Alligator mississippiensis: one gene and its partner. The protein of the gene in region 1 binds, or shares a complex with, the protein of each later gene. Links are inferred from orthologs where the notes say so. Each region holds a gene or a part of one and is shown in the gene's direction. Other genes may lie near its edges.

What was found. Proteins that work in one complex are often made in the same cells at the same time.
Region 2: the proteins of S100B (region 1) and CAPZA1 are in contact, whole or in part, in an NMR structure (PDB 1MQ1), measured with the Homo sapiens proteins. The link is inferred for Alligator mississippiensis from reciprocal best matches to the Homo sapiens genes S100B and CAPZA1. Residues at the interface, in NP_006263.1 of Homo sapiens: Glu46, Glu47, Lys49, Val53, Lys56, Val57, Thr60, Phe77, Met80, Val81, Ala84, Cys85, Glu87; in NP_006126.1 of Homo sapiens: Thr265, Arg266, Ile269, Asp270, Trp271, Asn272, Lys273, Ile274, Leu275.

The regions. Positions count from the first base shown.
Region 1 is NC_081827.1:188,578,372-188,586,415, forward strand, and holds the start of S100B (protein S100-B), read left to right. Parts: upstream 1-4,970; 5' UTR 4,971-5,066; intron 5,067-8,044. UniProt on the Homo sapiens protein: Small zinc- and- and calcium-binding protein that is highly expressed in astrocytes and constitutes one of the most abundant soluble proteins in brain.
Region 2 is NC_081837.1:44,706,781-44,714,123, forward strand, and holds the start of CAPZA1 (F-actin-capping protein subunit alpha-1), read left to right. Parts: upstream 1-4,278; 5' UTR 4,279-4,332; coding exon 4,333-4,371; intron 4,372-7,343. Other genes in the region: ST7L (suppressor of tumorigenicity 7 protein-like), read right to left, coding at 2,213-2,342. UniProt on the Homo sapiens protein: F-actin-capping proteins bind in a Ca(2+)-independent manner to the fast growing ends of actin filaments (barbed end) thereby blocking the exchange of subunits at these ends.

The DNA.
Region 1 (8,044 bases):
CTGGGAGAGTTGGTGGGGGATGAGGCCTGTTTGATTTGGAGATTCAGCCGATTTGGTGGTAGACAAATCTCCGAATCAGATTTGTCCAAATCGCTTTGGGACAGTGATTTGAATTGCCAAATTGAATTACTGCCCCCCCCCCAAATCAGCCGAATCCAAAGTGAATACTAGCTGTTTTGCACAGGCCTACTTGTTACCCTTGAATTAATCCTATCAAGTCTACAGAAATCCAGCTTACCTTTCCATCCTTCCATATGCTTTGTGCTTCATTAGTGTTTGCTACAAACATCTACCCAGTCATCTTCCATCTGGTGTGTGAGCCCTACAGCAAATCATTTGTTCCCCTTGCACAGACTTGGTCTCCTGGTTGCTACTGTAAATTCACAATAGTCCTGGGAAGCTGTAATTGCTGCAAAGCCCCCTCACTAGATAAAGAGATCTGGTTTTATCCCATTTCCTGTGGGAACTGTAGGGTCCATCTTTGGACTTTGGCTGAACTGTGAGGTTGAATCGCACATTTCCTTGGATTGTGCAAACTAATATACACCAATTTGTGTTTGGAAGCAATTTCTGGGAGTTTCTTATGATAGCAATGTGAGATGCTGGGGCCAGGCCAGAAGCCTTGGCCTAGGCCCAGGCCAGAAGCCTTGGCCTAGGCCCCTTTGAATTCACCCCAAGGTCTGCTACTAGTTCATAGCTCCTTGTGTGAGATTATTCTAGCTGTGAGTGGGGGAAGCCTGCTCAGATTGAGCTCTTCCTACCCCACTGCACAGATGAGAGCGAGAGACTGTGACTGCTGCAGGCACCTAACAGCTCTGGCTCCCAGGCCTGTGTATCCACAAACACAACCTCCCCCTTAGTTAACGGTAGTGTTTTTGCTGTGCCAGCCCCTCCCATCTACAAACGTTCCCCAACTGTTCTCTATGAACCCATAACCTGTTCCTTCCTTTCTCTGGCCAGTCCTTGCTCTTCATCCACCAGGTTTCATTCCCCTCCTTTTGTGAACTCTCTGGTCCCTCGCCCCGCCACCCCAAGTCCATGCATCTCAGAGGCTTAATGGGCACATCCTGGGTTGGGATGACTTACTGTTGAATTTGGGTATGTTCGGGCAGTTATGCTGGCTGCTGCCTCTCCGCAGCTGGCCTCACCTCCCTTGAATTAACTGGAAACAATTAAGATTAATCAGTAAAATATTCTTAAACCAAAAATAAACACGTTTCACAAGGATTTAAATAGTTCTTGGTAAATTGCCTTAAAGTCATACTTTATGTTAACCCAGCACAACAATTTAATGTAGACACAACCTGTTAGTATGGTATTGCTAATCCAAACAGGCAAACAAATGAGTCTAGTTTCCCAAATCAGAAGACTGGTTTATGACATTTTTGTTTAATACATTTTAATTTTTTTATATCTGGCTACCAGTTTTAGAGCTTTTAGAAGTGCGCCTACTTCACATTTTCAAGAGAGAGCAGGAGCTGACTGTGCTGCTGCTGAAATATAAGGTGGAGCGTAGTTTTAGATATATGTGTTAGGGTGTGGTGTGATTTTTTTTTTTTAATTACTAAACTATTTATACATGTAGAGACTCTAGTATGATCATAGCAAGTCTTGTGTAAAGGTTTTTGTGCCTGAGAAGCTTTTTTCATTTCCATTATGGAGCATATCAGTATAACTTGTCCCCACTAGGGGGAGTTGTTCAACTTCAGCAATATCTGTATAGATAAAGCCATATGGATTTTTCAGGGAAACATCCTATGAGATATTTTATCTAGAATATTTTTCTGCTGTTCTGCAGTGTAGACATTAGAGGGAGCAGAAGATACAAGAAATCCAGCACTGTAGCAGATTCTGTAAACAGCACCCTCAGGATCTCCTTTGCTGCTGCTATAGTTCTGCTGCAGTCATTCACTCCAATACAAAACAAGGGCAAACCATTGCTGTTCTGATTTGGTAGCATATTATAGGTACTTTTCATTCATCTTGTGCTGGTGTAAATATCTACACAAGGCACTGAGAAATTAGGCCAGGCTTAGAAAATTTAGGTTAGTGCATTGTTAGGCCTTTTCTGAACACAGGTGCGCAGGTTTAACTAACTTAAAGCCTCCTTTTTAAAACAGTTGCCAAACAACTTGCATTGATTTAATGCAGTAAGGAACTGACTTAAAATAACACAGATCAGCTCTCATGTGATATAAAAGTGCATCAGTATTGATGATTCTTATGCATTTACTGAGTGATTCTTTTGATATTTGGTGCTTTTTCTTGAAAGAGTCACAGAGTCTCTACTGAGGAAAACCCAGGCTGTAGATGTGTTCCCTCGGTGAGGTCAGGCCATGATAAGTGTTCTCTTTCACTCTTCTGCACAACTTGTGCTGGTGGGGTAAAAGGTTTTGGAACCAGAGAGCAGTGATTATTAGTCAGCTCTGCACTTTGACTACTTGGAGTGCCTTATAGAAGGGAGTGGAAAATCACTGTATTACAGCAGCCCCTGGTTACATATGCCTGCACCCTATGCTGCATCTTCTCATAGGGGATATCAAGATATGTGCCAAAATCTTGAGTGCCTAATCCTTCAGCTATGTTCAGTATCAGCAAGAAAAAACAAAATTTGCTTTTCATCCTTACCCCCACACTGTCCCTTGGTGGTATGGCCAAGACCTGCACCCCTCCTTAAAGCAAAAGGACACCTCTGAAGAATGTTTTCCCATGATGGTGATCCCAGCTGGAGGGATGGAATGGGTGCTGGTACTGTCCCAGGGTCTGAGCCCCAGCTCAATATGTGCATTAGCTCTGATTTTGTGTAAGCCATAAGGTCTTTGTGCACAACCAGCCGCCTGTTTACCGTAGCACAAGGCTTATAGCTCTTGAGCTTTCAAGCAGTCAGTCTGCACTTTCAGACACCACTGAATCGTATTCCTGGAGTCAACAGAATTTCCCCTGCTAAGGGGTAACAAGAGAGCATCAATTTGTAGAAATAAATGAACAGATGGCATTTACACTTGACTGGAGATTGCAATTACTGCAGGGCTGGATTGGCCCTTTTACAACAGTGCCTGGCTAGGGACAGAAGTTTCTGCAGGGGAAACCCCTCTAGAGCTTTCTCTTTATTCATCCAATCCCCTCAAGAGCAAGCAAGTATCCTGCTGAGGGGAGGACCAACCCGGCAGATCGTCCTTAACAGTGGACTTGTGCCTTTATCTCTGAGCTTCCAGGTGACTTCCATCTCTGGGACTTTTTGAATTCGTGGCTCCCAAGCCTGAAAGTCCCCCCAGCTATATCTCTGCAGAGCCAATGTTCATCATCTATTCATGCTATTTCTCCAGAGAGTTCTCCTGAGAATCTGGAAAGTAGCAGATGCCTTCTGCAGGAATAGCAAGGAGGCCCCAGGGGCATGACTGAATCCTTCGTTAGTGAACAGCACAGTAGTGAGGGAAGGAGCAGGTAGGTGCTTTTTCACCAGTAATTCAAGATTTTCCCCTCATTGTTCATGAAATCTTTCTGAAATCTATTCCTTCCCAATAGACTGGCTGACTGTATTTAACAAACATTTAGGACTCATTCATATTTGCTCACATGGAGGTTTTTTTGTTTATTTTTGCTGATTTCACTGTACTTTGGATAAGATTCTCAGTTACTGTGGAGATTTCCCTTGATTTTGATAGGCTTTGAATCAGGCTTTGGAGTATGAGCCTCATCCACAGTTGTCTGCCCAATAGTCTAGGTTTCTTCCCATCCTATGGGATTTAGGATTCAGTTGAGGATTCCCAATTAATTGCCTTCATTGCCTCATTTGTGAGTTGCCACATTTGTGAGTTAGCGAGTCAGCTTCAAGAAAGAACAATTCGTTATAGAATTAGCTTTTAGAGACGGTTGGATGTATCTGCATGATCTCTGACTCTTCAGAAACCGTTGTATGCTACTAGCTTTGCAACTAAGCCCCTACGCTTAAAGTAGAAGCATGCTACTTACCATCTCCCAGGTCTCCTGCTCTTGTTTCTTTTAATAGTACAGAAGACCCATCAGTCAGTATCTTATTGTCACTCAGAGCCTGGTGCGCATACACTTATCAGCGACAAAGAAGGAAACTGGCTTTTTCATCTGTGTCTGCTACAAAAAGGCCTCATTGTATTTTATTGGGTAAAGGGTGGGGTGCAAACAGAAGAGTGAACGAATTAACACAACAATTTTTATGTATTACTTTAAACATGTGACCCAATTCATAGCTGCACTGAATTTAGACCTAGTGGAAGAAAGTGAGGTGCGTGTAAAACAAAAAAAAAAGAAATCAAAGCCTGTTCTAACCCTGTGAACCCCAAAATCCTGTGCATCCTATTTTGAAAATGTTAGCAATGGAGTAAAATAAAAAGTAACCTTCCTTTAAAAAACAATAAGGTACCCTAACAATAAGGTAAGCAAACCTGAAAGCAAAGTCATATGCCAGCCAGCCAGAGCCAAGTCTAGAACACTTAGTTTGGCACTCAGCAATAATTCTGCACAAGCTTCCCTGACTATTTAGCCTGGATCTTACCTGTCGTACAACTACCAATTATGTGGTGGTTCAGAATGTAGAAAAAAATTTACCTTCAACAGTGACTAGGGGCCTGACCCAGAAGCCACTAAAATAACTGGTGGCTGGTCAGGACCTAGGAACGTAACAACCCCACAGCTCATTCATTCTGTTCAAAGGTAAAAAGTCAGATCATTATCCCATAATAATACTGATTCCTCCCCTGCAAACTGGGTTTTCAGAGCCTAAATGTTTTTGACTTGGTGTTGCAGGGCACCTTGGTGCCCTGCTCCTAGAGAGTGGAAACTACCAGGGAGAGAGAGCAGGACATAACGAGCACAGCTGCAGGTTGCCAGGGCAACTGGAGGCAGCGAATGACTGACACCTGACAGTGGTTAGTTGGCTGTAAGGGGCAAGGCCTGGCCCTTATAAAGCCCAGAGCTGAAGCCAAGCTGGCAGTTCTCTGCCAGCGGCCGGGGAGGCAGGAGATCCTGGAGCTAGGATGCGAGCATTGTGGGAACCGCTCTAGCTGAGTGAAGGAGGGCAGCTCAAAGAGGTTTGATCACCATGGTTTAGCCAGATGGCTTATAGTTATGTTGTAGCCTAGGGGCTTGTGGTTTTGTTGTTGTTTATTACACCGGTGGCTAGGGTGAGGCTATTAGGGGTTGGAGGAGGCTTCATAGGGAGCCCCAGGGGGGTGCGGGCCCCAGCGCCAGTGAGGGGGCAGTATTATTAGGGAGCCCCAGGGCGGGCGCGGCAAGCCCTGAGGAAGGCCTAGTGCTGCAGTAAACCCCGGAGAAGGGCGGTGTACTGCGGTGAACCCTGAGAGAAAGGGGGTAGCAGTGTGGTGAGCTCTGGAGAGCAGGGCTAGCAGTGCGGTTGGGCCTGAAAGACAGGTGGCTTGACGAGAAGTCCCAGAGAGGGTGCAGAAGTCCCCAGGAAAGGGGGCAACATTACAGGGAAGGCCCCAGAGAGGGGCAACATTACAGGGAGCCCCCGAGTGGGCTCGGAGAGCCCAAGAGGGGGGGCAGCATGACAGAGGAGGCCCAAGAGAGCGGGCAGGTGTACACAGGAGGCCCCAGAGAGGGGTGACATCACAGAGAAGGCCCCGAGGGGGCTTGGAGAGCCCAGGAGGGGGCAGCATAACAGAGAAGGCCCGAGAAACGGGCATGAATATAGGCAGAGACACACCAACATCTATTCCATCTGCGAGGCTTGGGGCGTGGTATCGGGGGTGGCTGGAGCCACGTGTAGCTCATAAGGCTAGGGTGCCTGGGAAGCACCCATCATACGAGGAGACCCCTGGTGGGTCCGGGAAAACACGGGGACAGAGGTCCCAGCTAACTGTGCCCAAGGAGACGTGAGGCAGCCTCCCAACTTAACCTAACATCAAAGACGTGGTGGGTAAGAATAGAGGGTGCCCTTGGGCTGATTTGGCACGGAGGAAGGGGCCTCAAGGAGTTCACGGCCCTCCTGTAGGACCCCCCCGTGACACTTGAGCTGTACTTACAGGCACAAAAGAGCTTATGATTTCATTCCAACATCCAAAATCACACCCCCTCTCGCTCCTTCAGAATAAATAAGGGTCCCTCTGCCTTAGGCTGTTAACACTTTTAAATAAAGCTTCTGCCCCACTCCCCCACCAAAAAAAAGATGAAAGAGATCCGTTGCTCCAAAAGTATAGAGCAATATGTGATAGAAAAGCAATTGCGTACACAGTAATGTGATTCCATAAAGTACTTTTCATACATAATTTTTAAAGCATTTTACAAAACAAGGCACTTCTGTTGTCTGCATTTATGGATGGACAAAATTATGCATAAGAGCACAGGAAAGTGATTTGCACAATGCTCTCCATCAGTTCAGTGGCAAGGACAGGAACCAAACCTGGGACTGTGCCAGTACTCAATTAGTCTTTAACATACAACTGATATTGGTGGTCATTTTCAACTTAAGCACCTGACCCAGGGGTGGGCAAAATGTGGCCTGCCAGGCCATTCTATCTGGCCCATGGGGCCCCTAAAAAATTGAGAAAATTAATATTTATCTGCCCTGGGCTGCCTGTCATGTGGCCTTCAATGGCTTGCCAAAACTCAGTAAGTGGCCCTTTGCCCAAAATAATTGCTCACCCCTGTACTAAAGCCTCTGGGTCCCCAGAAAGTACAAAGCTAAGAATAATTCAGACATTTGATGGAAATATTCAGGGATCTGATTAAATAAATATTTTATTTATGTATTTATTTTAGTACATAGTGAAAAGTAACCACACAACAATAAGAGTCACTGAAAGTTACTTTAAGATATTTATATAGTCAATGTAGGGAAAAAGGACATTTTACTTAAAGCCCAACACCTAGAGAATAATGAACTATTCTGTTGGTGTTTTCTTCATTGCTTCTGTGCAATAGCCTTTCTAAATCACATTTGTTTAGTCCATGTTAAGAACATGCAACATTCCAGGTGGAGGGTTCTTTTGTGACTGTGATCTATCTGGATTTCTGTACATACTTGTTCCATTGGAGCTATTGGTAGTTGTGTTCCAGATTATTTGTACATTATCCTGAAGACCTTATCTATATTATCTTTTCCCTTAACATCTCTCCTGTTTACATTAGCAGCAGTATAACACCACCATGGGAGCACTTCTCTAGACCTGACATTGTTATTGTATCACAGTGCTGTCAAATCCCACTCGCTATGGGCATTTATATATGTGCACCAGGGAAGGGGGGAGGAGGGAGCAGAGCTGCTTTAATTAGAGCGACTCCAAGAACCACTCTTATTAAAGCACCTGGAGCATTATGTGTGCCAGTGTCCCCATGCTGAAAAATGGCAGCAGGCACCTCCTAGATCCTGTTATAGATTCATAGATGTTAGGGTCGGAAGGGACCTCAATAGATCATCGAGTCCGACCCCCTGCATAAGCAGGAAAGAGTGCTGGGTCTAGATGACCCCAGCTAGATACTCATCTAACCTCCTCTTGAAGACCCCCAGGGTAGGGGAGAGCACCACCTCCCTTGGGAGCCCGTTCCAGACCTTGGCCACTCTGACTGTGAAGAAGTTCTTCCTAATGACCCATCTAAATCTGCTCTCTGCTAGCTTGTGGCCATTGTTTCTTGTAACCCCCGGGGGCGCCTTGGTGAATAAATACTCACCAATTCCTTTCTGTGCCCCTGTGATGAATTTATAGGCAGCCACAAGGTTGCCTCTCAACCTTCTCTTGCAGAGGCTGAAAAGGTCCAGTTTCTCTAGTCTCTCCTCGTAGGGCTTGGTCTGCAGGCCCTTAACCATACGAGTGGCCCTTCTCTGGACCCTCTCCAGGTTATCCGCATCCTTCTTAAAGTGTGGCACCCAGAATTGCACGCAGTACTCCAACTGCGGTCTGACCAGCGCCCGATAGAGGGGAAGTATCACCTCCTTGGACCTATTCGTCATGCATCTGCTGATGCACGATAAAGTGCCATTGGCTTTTTTGATGGCTTCGTCACACTGCCAACTCATGTTCATCTTGGAGTCCACTAGGACTCCAAGATC
Region 2 (7,343 bases), on another chromosome or scaffold:
TGGTCTTGTCCAGCACGCCATCAGCCACTGGGAACTAACAGTAAGGGCAACTGGATCCCACATCCAAAAACCACTGCAACAAAGAGCATGCCAAAAGTGAATGTGTTTAGGTCACATAGTGCAGTCACTGATTTACACCCCCTGCCTTTATTTACCCATTTCCAGTGCAACAGAAGAGCGGTCCTCTGTGCTTCTATGCTGTCTTTCAGACTGCTACTCAGGAGCAAACATACTTTTCTAAACCCTAATCCAGTCCTGCAGGGAAGCTGCAACTGGGAGAAAGCTAGAGGCAGACAGCTCCACTAAGGGGAGACCTGTGTCACACCCACCACCTGTTTAGCACTGGGACTCAACAACTACCGTCAGGCTGCATTTGAAGCTGCAGGTTGAAAATAGCCTTGAGAAAATCTGATTTAAATAGCCAACAGCTGGGATTGGCAAGAAGGGTCACTTTACCTTCAAAAAAAACAAGGGGAGAAATACACCTGAAGGAAAAGAGACAAGTCTCAATTGTTGATAAAAGAGATAAGGTTGGAAAAAGACTAAGAAAAAAAATGCTATTCTAGACACTGGTGCTGTTATAGTAACAGCATAGCTCTTCCAGCTCCAATCAACTCTTGTATTCAGCTTCTGATCAAAACGCTGAAGCATCAGTTCCTCACCATCAGCTAATGTTTTAAAAGCAAGGAAACAAGTCCCTGAAAAGAGAAATTGTCTGCTGCGTTGCAAACAGGCAGAACTGCAGCAGCACAAACTCCAGCATCTCAAATAAAGAGGCAACAGTCCTGGGAGGAGCTTATTTGACTTTCACTGGAAAGTCACACACCTGCATCAGAGTTCATAGTGGCAAAAGATGTCCTGCAAAAATAACAGCTCTTTCACACCTCTGAAGAGACACTGTCCTCTGGGCTAAAAACCCAACCGCGTTGTCTACTGTGGAAGTGACCTCTCTGAGAGGAGGCAGAACAGGGAACGCTAAGCAGCAGGCCCAGGTGCTAATTAATGAACCCCTGTCCCATTAAAGAGGGGAAGGAGAGGCAGCTGATGACAATAAACCTGAAGCCTCACGAGCTCAGCCACAAGCACGGCCATCCAGGGTCCCTTCAATTTTTAATGACACTTGTGACTACTGCAAAGTCACGAAACCCTTGTCCTTTGCTAGACCTTCACCTAGAAAACTCCTGCATCGTCCCTTTTTCGCTGCACCGTTCTAAACGCTAATCGGGATGGGTGTCGTGCTTCCTACACCTCAGAGACTCCTACATGCTTCGGAAACAACCTATCGAGGCAATTTTAAACGTGTCTGCAGGCAATAAAGCAGACTAGGAGCATGGTGGTGGGGTGCCGTACAGCATTTAGTTTTTCCAATAACCCCCAGTACCAGGTGACACCCCAAGCCAAGCTGAAACCACGGGTGCTGGGAAGCCAGCACACTCAGCCTGTACGTGGTTGTGGCCAATGACGTTATGTACAGATTCACAAAGACAATCTACCGTGGCTCAAATAAACCCGAAAGCAGGCCTGGGGGACGTTTCCAGTTCCACGCGCAATATGGACACGCGGCAGAGACAGATCTGCCCCCCCAATACGTGCAGGATCGGTGGGGTGAGCTCGAAAGCAGCCGGCAGTAAGTCCATACACACGTGCCACCCCGTAACCGCAGGAGGCCCTTTGAACGGTGAGACGTGTGGTTTCAGAAACACGTGGGGTGACTATCAGAGAGAACTGTGTGGCTGTCGTCTATAGATATGAAACCGTTACGCCCTCTATTTTTCTCTTAAAATAAAGGGCTCAGAGGTGTCGGGTTTTGTATCAACAGAGCAGAAGAAAACCAGAATGTCCTTTAGGATGGCCACCCTGGAAACGCAGCAAATCCCTCTTTTTGGGGGGCTGCCCCAGCCTCTCCTAAGATCCAAGGGAACCACCTGCCTGGCACGCTCATCGTGATATTTCGTACGTGTTTTTGGAAACCAGCACGGGACAAAGCAGGACCCCGTGAACGCTGCCAAGCCTGGCATTCGAGGGGCCTGTCCCCAAAACCTCGTCTCGGCCCTGCATGAAGAGCGAACCCCGGTCCTTTGCGCGGGCCGCCCCTGCGAGTGCACGGCACCCATGCGGGGAGGAGGGGGACGCGGGTGCCCCCATGCCAGCTCTCTGGGAGGCGTCGGGGCCCTGCCCCGCTCCCCCCCTCCTGGGGGCCCACAGCCCTCACCGGCCGCCAGCCTGTCCCGCAGCGCGTAGAGCAGCGCGGGGGCGGCCAGCAGCGCCAGCCCCGCCGCCCCCCGCCGCAGCCGCCGCCGACACCGCGCCTCCCCGCCGCCGACACCGCCGCTCTCCGCCATGGCCCAGCCGGGAACCCTGGGAGAGGGAGAGAGAGAGGGAGAGGGCGGGGGCACGGCAGCCGGAGCCAGCCGCAGCCCGGCCAGCGCCTCCATAGGCAGCGCCGCAATCAGCGCGAGCCCCGCCGGCTGCACGTGGCCGCCTCGCACCGCGCCGGCACGAGCCCCCGGGCAGCACTCCTCTCCCTGCACACACGTGCGGGCTGCACCCTGCCCCCAGCAGCCCCCGCCCCAGCTGCTTCATCCCAGAGCAAGCTGTCCCCACCCCGTCCAAACACCTCCAGGCATGGGGAGTCACCCCCTCTCTGGGGGCTTTACTACCCTCCTCATCTCCCAGCTCAGCTTCCCCTGCTGCAGCTGGAGCCCATTGCCCCTGTGCTGCAGCACTGCACAAAAGGGAGGGATACACCCTTCCCCTTGAGAGGCGCACTTAGTGTAACCCCTGCTCCAAGCAGGACCAGCCCCAGCGACTTCATCTTAGGCAAAACTGCGTCCACCCCTGTTTTAAACACCCCCAAGGGGAGCTTTACAACCCTCCTGCTGAGAAACTGGTTCCTCATCTCCCAGCTCAGCTTCCCCTGCTGCAGCTGGAGCCCATTGCCCCTGTGATGCAGCACTGCACAAAAGGGAGGGTTGCATCCTGCCCCAGGGGAGTCCCACCCCTGAGCCAAGCAGGACCAGCCCCAGCTACATCACCCCAGACAAAGCTGCGTCCACCCCGGTTTTCAACACCTGCAAGGGTGGAGATTTACCCCCTGCCTGGGGACCTTTACGGCCCTCCTGCTGGGGACGTGGTTCCTTATGTCTAAGCTCAGCTTCCCCCGCTGCAGCCGGAGCCCGTGGCCCCGCGTGCTGCCGTCTGCCCCATGGAGAGCAGTCACATCATCACACAAAAATGAGGGTTGGATCCTTCTCCTTGGGAGTCGCACGCAGTCCCACCCCTGCTGCAGGCAGAGCCGGCCCCAGCTACGTCGTCCCACACAAAGCCGTGTCTACCCGGGTGGTAAACCCCTCCAGGGATGGAGACTCACCACCGCTCTGGGGGGCCTGTCCCGTGCTTCACCACCTCGGAGCGAGGGAGTTTTCCCTAATATCCAACCTCAACCTCCCTTGCTGCAACGTGAGCCCGTTGCTCCTTGTGCGGTCGTCCGTCCCCACCGAGGCCAGGGCAGCTCCATCCTCCTGCTATCTAGTCCCCTCAGTCTTCCCTTCTGCAGTCTGAACACGCCCATTCCCCTCGGCCTGTCCTCAGCACCCGCAGCGGTCGCAAGCGCCACGAGCAAGCGGCGCTGGGCCGGCGGCACCCACCCTGGGCAGGGCCTGGGCCTGTGCTGCACCGCTCGGGGGGGGCGCGTGGCCCCGTGGGTTTGCTGCCGTCCCCCTGCCCGGGTCGGGAGCAGAGCCCAGTCACGGCTGCGCCCGACAGTGCCTGGGGCTGTCGCTTTGCCCACTCTGCAGAGGGCACTGGCCGGCCTGAGAGGCGCCCCTGGGCCCCGCCTGGCAGGTCCGGCCCTCGCTGCACGTTACATTCATGGCACGGTTGGTGAAGGAATAACTGCCGCCTTGTCCTTCTCCCAAGAGAGAGGCTAGCAATAGGGCAGCCAGGCTGCGTCTGGTTCCATGCGGGCGGGGGCAGCGCGTTTACATGGGCTACTACTTCGGAGCCATACAAGCACACTTAGCTCCCCTCAGCTGCCCACCCCCAAGATGGCGGGGGCGGCTTCCTCGCGCCTCAGCAATGCCCTTCACCAAGATGGCGCCTCACATTCCACTTCCCCCACACATACAGCTGCCCACTCCCAAAATGGCGGCGGCGGCTTCCTTGCTCCTCAGCAATGCCCTCCACCAAAATGGCGCCTCACATGCCCTTCCCCCACACAGCTGCCCACTCCCAAGATGGCGAGGGCAGCTTCACCAAGGTGGGGAGAGTATCCGGTTCCGGCAACGCTGCGGTTCCCGGCGTGCTCGGCGCGGCGGCGGCCGTGGAGTCAAGATGGCGGACTTGGAGGATCGGGTGTCGGATGAGGAGAAGGTAGGGCGGTCTCGGGGGTTTCCCTCTTGCGCCCGCATCGCTAGTGGCGGGGGCTTGTCGCGGGGCCGGGCCCCTCTCCGCTCCTGTGGCACCAGCTCCCCAAAAAATAGATATAAAACCAACGAAGGAATCAATCCAGTGCCTCGGCCGGGAGCACGAGCAGCCTCAGGCAGCGCTAGAAGCGGCCCCGAGACTAGGTTTGACCCGTTGTCAACACCACTGGTCTTTCATTTCAGCAAGCAGCGCGCTACAAACACCAGCCCCTGCCCAGGTGCGGCGGACGGGGTCTCTGGCTTCATGCTGGGGACGTCCCCCCAAACCCAACGCAAGAGGCGAGCACTTTTCTTGGTCTGCAAGCTTGTTTCTTCGTCCCCAGCCGAGCAAAGACCCCGCCAGCCGCACCTGGGCTTGGTGCACGGCTCCCTGGCTGGATGGATCACACACTGCCACAGTCCCACTGACGCGAAAGGCAAGCGAGCGACGCAAGGGGAGGCCTCTAGCCTGTTTCGGCCTCGCTTCCAGCTCTCCTGGATATCCCGGCCGAACCGTTGGCAAGCCAAAGAGCCCCTCCTGCATTTCAGATGTGAAATGCAGCGTCTGGCCTGGTCCCAGCTCTGCAGTCGGGTGCGAGGCTCCCCCGCTTGCTGCCGCAATGAAAGATGGGTTGAAATCTCGCCCCTTTTCAAACCAGCTCAAAGCCCTTCAGCTCGCCGGAGGGTGCTCCCGATGGTCCCGCGTCGAGCCCCTTGAGGTCCCTTTCAGCCCTCACCTTGTCCGATTATTTGGTTTGTTTCCTGTCGCTCTTACCAGGGCCCTGAGTTGTATGTATTTGTTTAGTCCTTCGTTCGTTTATTTTAAAAACGCCCTGGGATTGTTTTCGTCAATGGGAGGAACAAGTGGTTGCACAGGAGAAACATCAACGCTCGAGTAGCCCTAGAGGGTTGTCTGTCTCACGCAAACAGATAGGGGGAAGAAATCTCTGTTTTAAATAAATAATCGAGCATTACTTCTACTGGTAAAATAAAAATAGCTTTTGGGGGAGGAGGGGTTGCGTCTTAAATGAGGCTTTTTAAGTCACGATTCTTTCTAAACTCATTAGCGTCACTAGACAAGGAAAGGATGGTTTGCTCTGCTGTTCCTCAGTGGCTTTACTGTACAGGCAATATTACAGATGAGAAGACTGGCAACTAATAGAAGTAAATGTCAGAGATGCTTTCAGGTCTTGTGTTGCGTGGATTTGATTTTGCCAAGCCAGCAGAAAGAAGCAGCCGCAGTCTTCTGCTTTCACTCCGTTTCCTCATCGGGCCGTTCTTTTTTTAAACCTAGCTTAACAGCTGATTCGGTAGGTTTGCCTAGCATACCTAGGCCCCAACTCTGCGTTTCGCTGCATGCAAGTTTACCTCTGAAGGTCCGTAACTATCTCTTCCAGTGATGTTTCTGAGTCACTGATAATCAGTGACTTAAATGTAGGCAGACAGCAACCTCTAGTCCAGCACCTGTTCACTTCATTAATGCAGAATTAAGTCAGTAGTGGGATATAGTGGTATGATTTAACCAGATTGTTTTGAAACATGATTACCTACTTTTTTTAATGAAGACTACAATATAAAATGTTGATAATGAAGTAGAACGGACAGAATTTGGTCGCTGTGGCATAAAATAGATACCAGTAGTGGGTTATTTTACAGCAGAAGCAAAATCCTCTTCAAAATAATGACTTGGAATGCACAAAAGGATCTGTCATTGAAACTGGTCTTTGGGCTGAAACGCCCTAGATTTCATTACGAGTCAGTAGTGCGGGGGGGGGGGGGACACTTGAATTATTAAAAAAAACAGAAGTGATGTAGCCCGTTTCCTCACTGCTGTGGTTTGGTTTCAGCCTGAGTTAGAGTGGGGGGCCTGGATTCTAACACATGGCCTCAGCAAAACAACCAGGCCTAGGTTATTGCATCTCCAAACTCGGGTTGCCATTGGAGGGGATAAAGGCTAAATTAGTTTCTTACCTTGAATAAGCACTGCTCTGGCTGTTGTGAACTATTTCTACACAAACACTGTTTGCAGCTGCCATTTTGCCTGCTTAAACTAGCAAGTGGTTAGCTTCCCTACTAGATGCTTTCCCCATTTCAGAAAAAGGAAGTGCATTTCTGCCACAACCCTGCAGAGGCACTTGAAATGGTAATGATGAGGCAGGAAGTAGGTCAGGTCCTGTTTTCTTAGTTCTGCAGACATGCGTGCTGCCAGGGTGCCAGCACCCAAAGGCAAAGGTACTCTAGAATGACAGTAGTTTGACAGCTTGGTATGCAGGGCTACTTTGCTGTGTATGAGGGGGGCTTCCTTCACATTGAGCTGGATGATAGCTGTATTTAGTGGTTTAAGGTAACCATTTAGTGGTTTAAGGTAACCAAGTCTCATACCCTGGAAGGAGCAAGAGGGTAGGGAAATTATACTTAACAAAAATAGCCCGTTCCCCTAGCTCATTGCTGCTGGTTTTCAGATATGGACATGGCACTTCCTGCCTTGCACATATAATTTCACCTGTCTTGCTAAAGTAGCAGAAGGTGGTGGCACATGGGCGTATGTAGGAGTGGCCTTTTATAATTCCCTGAAACATCTGAGTCTCAGCCTTGATCTTTTAGGAAGCAACCTTTTGTACACAGAGCAGATTGAAAGAAGGTTGGATATATTAAAAAAGAAAAGAAAGTTGGAGAGAGAAAGTTACAAGTATAATGGTATTTCTTTAGCAAGGCACCTTTCACAATCCACATAATGGCCATATAATTTTCCTTGTTGCACATCACTATATAAATATGCATGTGGCTTAGTTATTGTCATGGCAGCTCTCCTGTTGGGAACTTCCCCATCAGAATGGATCTGGGTGTCTTTTAAGTGAAGCTGTCTGTACTCAGAGGACAGTATCTGCAGTAGGGCCCTGAACATTTCCAGAGAGACATGCCTCTGCATGTGCTTACACT